2 linked regions of the Drosophila melanogaster genome follow. The protein of the gene in region 1 interacts with the protein of each later gene in a pairwise test. Each region holds a gene or a part of one and is shown on either strand. Other genes may lie near its edges. The genes, in order: tou and DNAlig3.

Evidence for each region.
Region 2: the proteins of tou (region 1) and DNAlig3 interact in a two-hybrid assay, tested with the Drosophila melanogaster proteins (one large-scale study listed by BioGRID).

Annotation. Positions count from the first base shown.
Region 1 is NT_033778.4:11,613,001-11,617,853, reverse strand, and holds the start of tou (toutatis), read left to right. Parts: upstream 1-1,808; 5' UTR 1,809-2,275; intron 2,276-4,853. Other genes in the region: Egm (enigma), read left to right, coding at 14-338, 400-924.
Region 2 is NT_033777.3:12,398,507-12,404,113, reverse strand, and holds DNAlig3 (DNA ligase 3), read left to right. Parts: upstream 1-2,323; 5' UTR 2,324-2,368; coding exon 2,369-2,720; intron 2,721-2,794; coding exon 2,795-3,587; intron 3,588-3,675; coding exon 3,676-4,842; intron 4,843-4,905; coding exon 4,906-5,014; 3' UTR 5,015-5,103; downstream 5,104-5,607. Other genes in the region: Cyp9f2 (cytochrome P450 9f2), read left to right, coding at 1-463, 521-687; Cyp9f3 (cytochrome P450 9f3), read left to right, coding at 5,239-5,444; Sol1, read right to left, coding at 1,234-1,576, 1,633-1,834, 1,904-2,323.

The sequences.
Region 1 (4,853 bases):
TACTCAATTATAGAGACCTGGAGCTCACCCGCATCCATATGTCGCGCGCGATGTGCTCCGTTTACGCGATGGAGAGCATGCTCTACCTGACCGCCGGGTTGCTGGATGAGTTCCGTGCCCAGGATGTGACTCTGGAGAGTGCCATAACAAAGTACTTTACCCTGCGACAGGTGTACGCCATTGCCTCCCAGAATCTGGGAGTCGTGGGACCCAAGAGTCTGCTCAGCGGTGAGACCACGGAGCTGGGACTACGAGATGCAGCGCAGCTGTGCACGCAAGGTGAATCCCTGGACACCTTGGGCATGTTCATTGCCCTCACCGGATTGCAGCACGCGGGGGTAAATTTCTTGTCCATTTGATACTTGTGTAATGGTACTTAAAAACAAAAATTTTTTTCAGCAAGCCATGAATACGGGCGTGCGAAAGTCCAGAAATCCACTCTTCAATCCTGGTCACATTTTTGGTAAATTCCTGGACAACAACAGCATCGACAATCCCAAGACCAAGATGCAGCTTTCGGAGCACGTGCATCCCTCCCTTGAGGCGGCTGCCCAGTGCATTGAACTGTCGGTGGCGCGTCTCCAAATGGCCGTGGAGCTGATGTTCACCAAGCACGGCAACGCGGTGGTGGAGCGTCAAAGTGAAATGCAGCGCCTGGCGGAGGTGGGCACCCTTATCTATGCCATGTGGGCCAGCGTGGCGAGGGCATCCCGATCGTATTGCATTGGACTGCCGCTGGCGGATCATGAACTGCTCACGGCCACAGCGATATGCTCGGAGGGCAGGGATCGCGTCCGCACCCTCTGCACGGAGATCTATGGCGGTCATTTTGTGAACAACGACAACAACCTGGTGCGACTCTCCAAGCAAGTGGCCAAGAGCAAGGGCTACTTCGCTGTTCATCCGCTGACATTTAACTTCTAAGCCAAGCTGGTAGTTAAGTTTATTATTGCCTTTACGATTAAAGTGAATACTTGTTATTGATAATTCGCATGTGTTTAATCTCGTCTTGAGGGTTCCAAAAGGTAAAACACATTTGTGGATTATTTTCCGGGACACAATTTGACAACTAGTTTTTATATTTTATATTTCTAATAATTCACGCAAATATTAGCCAAAAAAAAAACTAAATAGACTGATTGACGCAATTGTTCAACATATTTTTAAGTAGAACAATTTTCTTAAAATCCCCCTAAGCCATCACAAATAATCCAGCATTCTGGGAAATCAGCGTGAAATGTCTTAATCCGTTGAGTTTACCACCTGTCCGCCTTTTCCGCTGCACTGGGAATTGGATTTGCATTTCGTTTAAGTGGTTGAACTGGGCGAATTGATAAAGAATTGACAATTTGCTAAGCGGCGCAGGAAGACGGCCAAAAGCGGTGTGAGTGTGTGAGTATGCGGTCTCTTCGTTCATGAACGTGTGTTAGCGTGTGTGTGTGTGGACAGGTGGTAAAATAGCCTGTACTGTACTTTCAACGTAAAGCAGCTAGCTTACTTAGAGTACTCAGTCAATATCGGGTCAATCAAAATGTGGTTAAAGGTTTTGTCTAAACAAGCGCAGAATTCCTAATAATTTGGATGACTATTAAATGATTAATAGATAGAACCGTGTGCAAGTGTGCGTGTTTGTTTGTTTGTGCCCACAACTACACAGCAAGATTTGGTTTCATGTCCACTTGTTTCGCCGCCACGCTCTCGCCACTGTTAGTTAACATAGCTCTGCCAGCGACTAACATGCACTCACACTCGTGCAGCGGCAGCACTGCAGGCAGCGAAAATCGAAGAGAGTAGATTCATAAAAGAGTATCGGTTTCTCTATCGAAGCGTTCGGACGTCGAAAAGATAAACCCCAATTTAAATCTAATCCATCTGCGAGCAAATTAAACAACAATAATGATAGATTCTTAAGCGGCGCGCACATACGTGTCTTATTAATCGATTTTGATGTTTAAAAAATAATATAGAAAGTTGAAGTGAACTTGCAAACCTCGCGAATAGCTGGAAATTTGCGCGTGTGCGGGTGGAACAGTGACACTCGTGTGAAAATCATCGCTAAGGAAAAGGCGGATAATATAAAGGAAAAACGCCCGCGGCGAAAATTATTCCATTGGTGTGAGTGTGCAAAAAAAAGGAAGAAATATCAAGAGCAAAGAAGTTCGAGAAATTGCTAAAAATTAAGTGTGTTTGTGCTTGTGTGAGTGGGTGACAAATGAATGGGCAGCAAAAAGACGAGAAGTCAATCAGCGATAAGCAGTTTAAACAAACAAAAAAGGTGAGCTAAAATTTAAAGCTAAATCAAACTCATTTATATGTAATACAAAGTGTATAAATATAAAGTTCACTGATGAAAAATTAAATGATTTCACCCTTAAAATATTCCCGTTGAGTTCAATACAACACCCCCGCCCCCTTTTATCAGCCCTCCCCACTCCCCTTCCCAATTTCAACCGCAAACAAATAAAATAGGCAGAAAACCGAAGCGGATAAAAAAGAGGAAGAAGCGAAAGAAGTAGCGTCGCCGATTTCAGTCCTTCATTCCATTTCATTTCGTTCCACATGCTTTTGCTGCCCCTGTGATGTTGTAGTTGTTGTTGGTGGTGCCTTTGTTGTTCTTGCTCTTGTTCTTGTTCTTGCTGTATTTCGGCGGTGACAGTGAGCGTGAGCAATGAAGGCGGCGAACGGCGAACTCTGGAAATTGCCACAAGCAGTGGCACACGACGCGGCCAACAAACACACACACACGCATGCGAGCATACTCTGCTGGCCAGAGCAAATACAACATACAGTGGGACTTTGTTTGGGCGGACAGCATGGATAGTTGAAATTAATATATTCCTTTTCAGTGACAACTTAAACAAGAATCTACGTAAAATACTTACTTTTTGCACCAAATAATTACCATTTTTAGCAGTTTGTAAGAAAATGAAATGTTTATAATTCCACTAATCTTTTGAGTTTGCAGTGATAACCGTGTAAATTGAACTATTACAATCTTTTTTTTATTTATTAAAACTATTTTTTTATTTATTAAAAAAAACACAATTTCTATTGATTCGATTACTGATAAGTACTCTATAGCGATTTATGTATATTTAAGCAATTAGTGCTAGAGATCAAGATGAATACATTTATTTTAAATGAAAGATTCAGGTTAAAGAACTCTTGATGACAAAAAAAAATAAATATTTTAATTTACGAGCTTTTAAATTTCACATACTAATCATATAGCCATAAACTAAAACCGGGGAATTTTGAGTAGCCAATCTTTACTGTACTCGCACGAATACAGTGACAAATGCAGGGGGCAGCGAAACACGACAGCGACGGCGGCAGAGGCAAAGACACCTCGAGGAGTCAACTCACCTCTCGAAACCGATTCCTCTGCTTCAATTTTTTCTTTTATTTTCCTTTTTGCGCTCATATTGTAGTTTAATTTTTATTTTATTTTTTTTTAGCCCGCCCTGTCCGCATGTGTTATGCGTGTGTGTGTGTGTTGGGTTCACACAAATACAATTCATCAGCGGCAGAGAAGTCGGCGTCGCTTGTTGTTTTTGTTGCTGGTGCTGCTATTATTTGTTGTTGCTGGTTCTGCGCGCTTTTATTTGAGATTTGCGCACGAATGGCTTTTGCTTTTGCTCTTGGAGTTGTATATAAATTGTAAAGCGTGTGGGGAAGGGGCAGCTGCAGAAGGTGGAGGATGAGGGGCTTTCAGGCTAGTTTCGTTCTAGAGTTCGCGAGCACACAAACACGCACACACAGTCACGTACATACGCTCGACAGAAATACGGGTACACAACATAGAGAAAAAATAAGGAGAAAAAAACAAGACTGCAAGTGGATTGGGCTTTGAATTTTGTTTTGTACACTTTTCCCTCGGCCCTGCTCCTTCGTCCTTCCTTCTTTTGAGTGAATTTTTCACCTCCTTCCCTACCCAAATACTGCTATTCCTTAGCTTTCTTGGCATATTTCGCAATTTCCCCTTCGCATGTTAATTGCCGGCGTTGAACTTTTAGTTGTTAATCAATTTGGTTTGGCTGCTATTTTGCCTCTTTTCACTTCTTTGCGTTGTTTGTTTTACAAACACACATGCCGCTGGTTTTTTGTCTTTTGTTTCAAATATAGCATTTGATTCGGGAAAAACTACAATTATTTCTATAATGACAAGCTTAGGATTTTAAGAAATACAGTTCACTTACTAAATTGGAAATACATATATGCCGGTTTAACTCAAAATAAATGCAACTTATCGCGAGCATAGTTTATATAAAATATATTAGTAATTAAGAGAACATACATACATACATGTACATATATGTAAGAACTGTTTAAAGTTTATGTTAGATTGATCTATTTATGCTAAAAGATTATTAATAGCCAAAGTTAACATTAAAGTCATGAATGCAATTGTTTTGTTTGCTTGCAAATCAATTAACTTAGCTAATCAAAACATTAACTGCGTCTATTCAGGACTTCTTCATTTGTTTGATTGCAATTTCCTCTTTGCATTTCCGATTCCCTTTTTGGCCAAAAAATTAAAAGAGGTGCCAGCCGCCAGATGTCGCCACTGTTGGCTGATTCCGGCTGCTGCTGCCGCTGCTTCTTCTACTTCGCTCTGCTTTTACTCTGCCCGCAAATCGATTTCGATTTGGTTCCGTCTCTTTCGCACACACCCTCGACTTCTGGCTGTGTGTGTGTGTGAGCAATAAGCTTAACATAAATCATTATAACGGCACATACAGGAGGGACCTTACATGTCACCCCAACCCCCAGTCCCCCCTTGCGCCCACAACCGCCCATTTTTCTGTATGTCTGTGTTTGTATATTTGTTCGTTTCGGCTGTCATTTCATAT
Region 2 (5,607 bases), on another chromosome or scaffold:
GTCGCCCAGTGTTTCGTGTTCTTCTTTGCTGGCTTCGAGACTTCGGCGGTGCTGATGTGCTTCACCGCTCACGAGCTAATGGAGAACCAGGATGTGCAGCAGAGGCTATACGAGGAGGTACAGCAAGTGGACCAAGACCTGGAGGGCAAAGAACTGACCTATGAGGCAATTATGGGCATGAAGTATCTGGATCAGGTCGTCAACGAGGTTCTGCGAAAGTGGCCGGCGGCAATTGCCGTCGATCGAGAATGCAACAAGGATATCACCTTCGATGTGGATGGCCAGAAAGTCGAGGTCAAGAAGGGCGATGTCATCTGGCTGCCTACATGCGGCTTCCATCGTGATCCCAAGTACTTTGAGAACCCTATGAAGTTCGATCCGGAACGTTTTAGCGATGAGAACAAGGAGTCTATTCAGCCATTCACATACTTCCCCTTTGGCCTGGGTCAACGCAACTGCATTGGTAAGTTGATTGATTCAAAATTGTTCTTCGAAAAAATGTAAAATGTATTTATTATAGGTTCCCGATTCGCTCTACTTGAAGCAAAGGCTGTTATCTACTATCTTTTGAAGGACTACCGCTTTGCCCCTGCCAAGAAATCCTGCATTCCACTAGAGCTCATTACTTCCGGTTTTCAGTTGTCACCCAAAGGCGGCTTTTGGATTAAACTTGTTCAAAGGAACTAATCTTATAAACGATCAAAATAATAATATGTTTTGTTGAATGTTATGTTTTAAAGAAGTTGACATTATTAAATTTAAACAATTAATGGTAATTTGTTTCTTTGTTTTTAATTTATACCAAAAATGATAAAAAGATAGCATATACTTATGTCGTGACTCTACAAAACTGAATCGAACAGGTAAAGATCGATTGCAGATAACAACGAGTGGCTCGTTTACACGGTAACTCTGATAATGAAGTTGAAATTAAATAAATAATTTTTACCAGAAACTATTGAAAATGAAAATGCTTGGCGGAGTTTTTATCGATGATATCACGTTTAATTTACATCCTAATACTTAAAATCCCTCAACTTAAATTGTTAGTTCTTGAACTACTACGCATAAACTTCGATAGCCAACATGAAATCGATTGCTTTTAAAACGATAATTTGGCCAAGATTAAATATTTAAATTTAATGAAGTTGTGTGCCATTAAAATAGAAAAAAATTATTAAAATTTATTAAAGAATTAGAAAACAAAATTTCGAAATATTTTGTCTCTATATTTTAAACATAAGATTGGTATGCTTTATAAGTGCATAAGATACATGCAATTAATTTGTTTACATTTGCAACCGGCTGAGTTGACGCTGTTGAGACGAAACTCTGCATGGAGGCATTATCCCGAAGATCGGTGATGGAATTATTCACTGAAACGGTTTCAAAGGTGTACAGGGCGCGGAATCCGATGGCCACAAAGCGATCATTGGAATGCAAGGTGACTCGAAAGAAACGTCCATCAGAACGCATTTCAAAATCGGGAAGCTTTCCGCAGTATCTGCTGAACTTTCGATCCGTGCTCATGAAATTGGAAAACTCGATGTAATCGCTGGCGGTTTGGTGGTCACAACTGCACAGAAAAGGGGATTAAACATTTTTAGGTGATAGTTTAGATAAAGATCTTACCTTCCAATGCCCTCGATATCGAAATATGTGAAGTGAAGCACAACTCTTTCGTCACTTGCTCCGTAGAAATAATAATTGCACACAACATTTTCCAGGTAATATCCGGGAAAATTCGGAGAGTGAAATAGGCCACTTATTCGCTCGCTGCTATTGTAGACAAAGGAACATCCTTCCTTTTGAATCCCCGACATGATACCAAAATCTTGAAAATAAGCCAATTTTTAAATAAATATCAGTCTTTATTTGATTAAGACTCAGTGGAAACACTTACTGGTTAAGAAACGGTACTCCGCGCGAAATCCGTAGTATTGCACCTTGTTCGTCATTGTGGGCGGATATTTTCCGACAAACTGAAGGTGTAGCTGCTGTCCACTGGACATCAGTGGCTTGGGCAGGAAGGCGCCGCAGAGCAGTTCCTGCGTCTCGTACCGTCCACGCAGCTCGGTGACCACGTGCAGCGCATCGCCCGGCTGGCAACCCGTGGAATTCTCGTGCTCCGTAGGCACGTTGAAGTCGTGGAATCGAATCTGCACCCGTTCTGGCGCCTGAGCTTCAAATTCGTAACGGCATTGCAAGACTCTCGAGCCGCCAATTACAACGCCGCCGAGCGCGTGTTTGGCGAGCAACAGCTGATTTGAGTCAAATATTCCCGATTTATTTACTCGTGAGTCGAAAGTCTGTTTGCATTGTTCTGTGAAATAGACAACCACATTTTTAATTTGCAATTAGTGTGCGTATGCTATTGTCCAGGCTAACGTGGCAGGCCAGGATTCTAACTCGTCTTCTGTGTAATAAGATGGCCAGCAAGGGATTGCACAATGAGGACAACAAGTTGGACACTTTCCGTCGCATCTGTGATGAAATTGCCGGCGAGTCAAGTTACCTGAAGAAAGCGGAGAGACTGCAGCGATTCTTCGAAAAGGGGAGCAGTGGCAAGGGCTTCAAGGGCGACACCGTGCTCTGGGTGCAGTTCCTCATTCCGGCGGCCAATCAGCGCGTCTACAATCTGCAGAACAAGGCGCTGATCAAACTCTTTTCGCGCATTTTTAATGCAGATCAACAGCAAATGCATCTGGATCTAGAGCAGGGCAAGTTGTCATTTTTCAAGAAACTTCCGACACAAACTCTTGTTGAGTCTGGTCTAACTTCTCGTTTCCCGTAGATGGCGACGTTTCGGAAACTCTACGCAAGCACTTTGCTGCTTCTAAGAAACTCAAGCCGCAAAAGCAGAGCAAACTCTATCTGCAGGAGGTGGAGGAAATGCTCCTGCACCTGGTGGAGCGTACCAAAGAGGATGAGCAAACAGATCTGCTACAGAAGTTGTGCTCGAAGGCCACTGACCTGGATCTGCGCACCTTTATTCGCTTGGTGAAGCACGACTTAAGAATCAATGCCCGAGCCCGGCACATCCTGGATGCTTTTGGTCCTGATGCCTACCCCGCATATCAGTCTTCCCGCGATTTGGTGGCAATTGTCGAACAGTTTGCCACCAAAGAAAATAAAAATTATGCTAGTAGTCCCGTTAAGAAGACTAAGAAAACGAGCTCGAGTGCAATTCAGGTAATGACACCCATATCGCCCATGTTGGCCAGTCCCTGCAAGTCGGTGGAGGACGCCTTCAAGAAGAGCCCCACTGGACTATATAGCGAGATCAAATACGATGGAGAGCGAGTTCAAATCCACAAGCAGGGCAACGACTTCAAGTTCTTTAGTCGCAATCTAAAGCCTGTGGTGGATCACAAGATACGGGCTCTGAAAAAATATATTCCGCAAGCCTTTCCTGGCGGTGGCGAAATGATACTGGACTCTGAGATCATTCTGGTCGACACTGACACAGGAGCACTGCTGCCCTTTGGTTCGTTGGGTGCCCATAAGAAGCAGACTTTCGCCAATGCTGCTGTATGCTTATTCGTCTTCGATTGCATACTGTATGATGGCGAGGATTTGACCCAGCTGTAAGTGGGGTAAGGTTGGGAAGAATATAATTTGTAAGATAATATTTAAAAATGAAATAGTTCCTAATATATTATCTGGATTTTTCAGGCCATTTCGCAAGCGTCGCGAGATTCTTGAGCAGAATATTCAACCCATTAAATCCCACGTGCAGCTGTCGGAGTCGGAGTTCCTCAAGACCACGAGGGAACTGGCCGCGATGACGGCCAGGGTGTTACATGCCAATCTGGAGGGTGTGGTCCTAAAGAGTCCAACCAGCACATATCAGCCCGGCAAAAGGAACTGGCTTAAGGTCAAGAAGGATTACCTATTCGACGGAAAGATGGCTGACACCGCGGACTTGGTTGTTTTGGGTGCTTGGTACGGATCAGGGAAGAAAGGTGGCACGCTTAGTATTTTTCTCATGGGCTGCTACGATGCGTTTGGGCGTTTGTGGAAGACAGTGACCAAAGTGCACTCTGGCTTGGATGATGCTACCAACGCAGAGGTACATAAATCACTAATCAAACTAACCGAACGTGCTGATGCCAACGCAATTCCCAGTTGGCTGTTATGCAGTAAGTCCCTTGTACCAGATGTACTGGCCAAGGATCCGATGAAAATGCCAGTATGGGAGATTACTGGCGCAGAGTTCACCAAGTCCGATGCCCATACCGCGTCTGGAATCTCAGTACGATTTCCCAGGATTACTCGTCGTCGCAGTGATAAATCAGCCAAAGAGGCCAATGATCTGGCCCATCTAGAAGATCTTTTCGAGGCCTCAAAATCGAATGTAAATGTTGATTTACTTCTGGCCAATTGTAGTAAAGATGAGACAGCAATGAATAACAAAACAACTCCTGAAAAGGAGAAAAAACTGAATGGCAATCAATCAAATGGTAGTAAGAAATTGAAAAGGTCCAATACTGGTTCTGATGACGAAGACGGAGCTCCTGTGCTCAGCAAACGCAAGGAGTCCAAAGCGATTCGAAGCTTGTCCCCTTCGCAAAAGGGATTAAAGGATTTTTTTAAGCCCAGCAAGGAGTTTAAATCAGTTGTGAAAAAGGAACCAAAGGAGGATGAAGGCAATATTGAATCCACTAGCTCGAAACCCCAGTTGTTCGAAGGATTGGTGGCACACTTTGCCATGGAGAAGGATTCAAGTAAACTGATGCAGCAGTTTTCACAGCATGGAGGATGCTGTACAACAGAACCACAAAAAGCTGATCTGGTCTTTTATGCGAATACGAACGAGGCATTGGACCTAGAGAAGCTTAGGTAATGTCTAGATGATCACTTAATCTAAAAGTAAACTTAATTCACTGGCTTCCTTTTTTTTAGAACGCTCTATCGTCGTAGCTGCCGGCACTTGAATGTAAGCTGGCTCCAAAGCTGTCTCGATACTCAGAGTCGTCAACCTTTTCCCCTACACGCCGTGATGATGAAATGATGAGTGGTATTCTAAATCGTTTGCACTCAGAAATTTGTACATGCTTGATTAAACCGAACACACATACATATGTGTGTATTATTGACAACAAGTATTTTATCAAATGCTAAAAGCAGAGCAAGAAGCTTTGATAGAAAGCTCTGCGTTGCGACAACGAAATGCTTCCGATTGTTTGTTAGTTATATTTTGGACGCTTGGATCGTCAGACTAGGCGCTCGTTCAACATGCTGTGGGAGTTCTTGGCCCTATTTGCGATCGCTACCGCCTTGTTCTACCGCTGGGCGTCCGCCAACAATGATTTCTTCAAGGATAGGGGCATCGCCTATGAAAAGCCAGTGCTCTACTTGGGCAACATGGCCGGCATGTTCCTACGGAAGAGAGCCATGCTGGACATAGTCTGTGATCTCTACACCAAAGGCGGAAGTGGCAAGTTAGTTAAATTTATTGATCCGGATTTAATAAGTTAATTACCTAATAAGCATCCGGGTTACTTGCACTTGCACTTGAAACTCGATTGGAAGAAGTGTGTATCTACTGGCCTCCAGCATTGCGTACAAGCCTATATAAAATCGTATGTCAAGGTCAGGCAATCA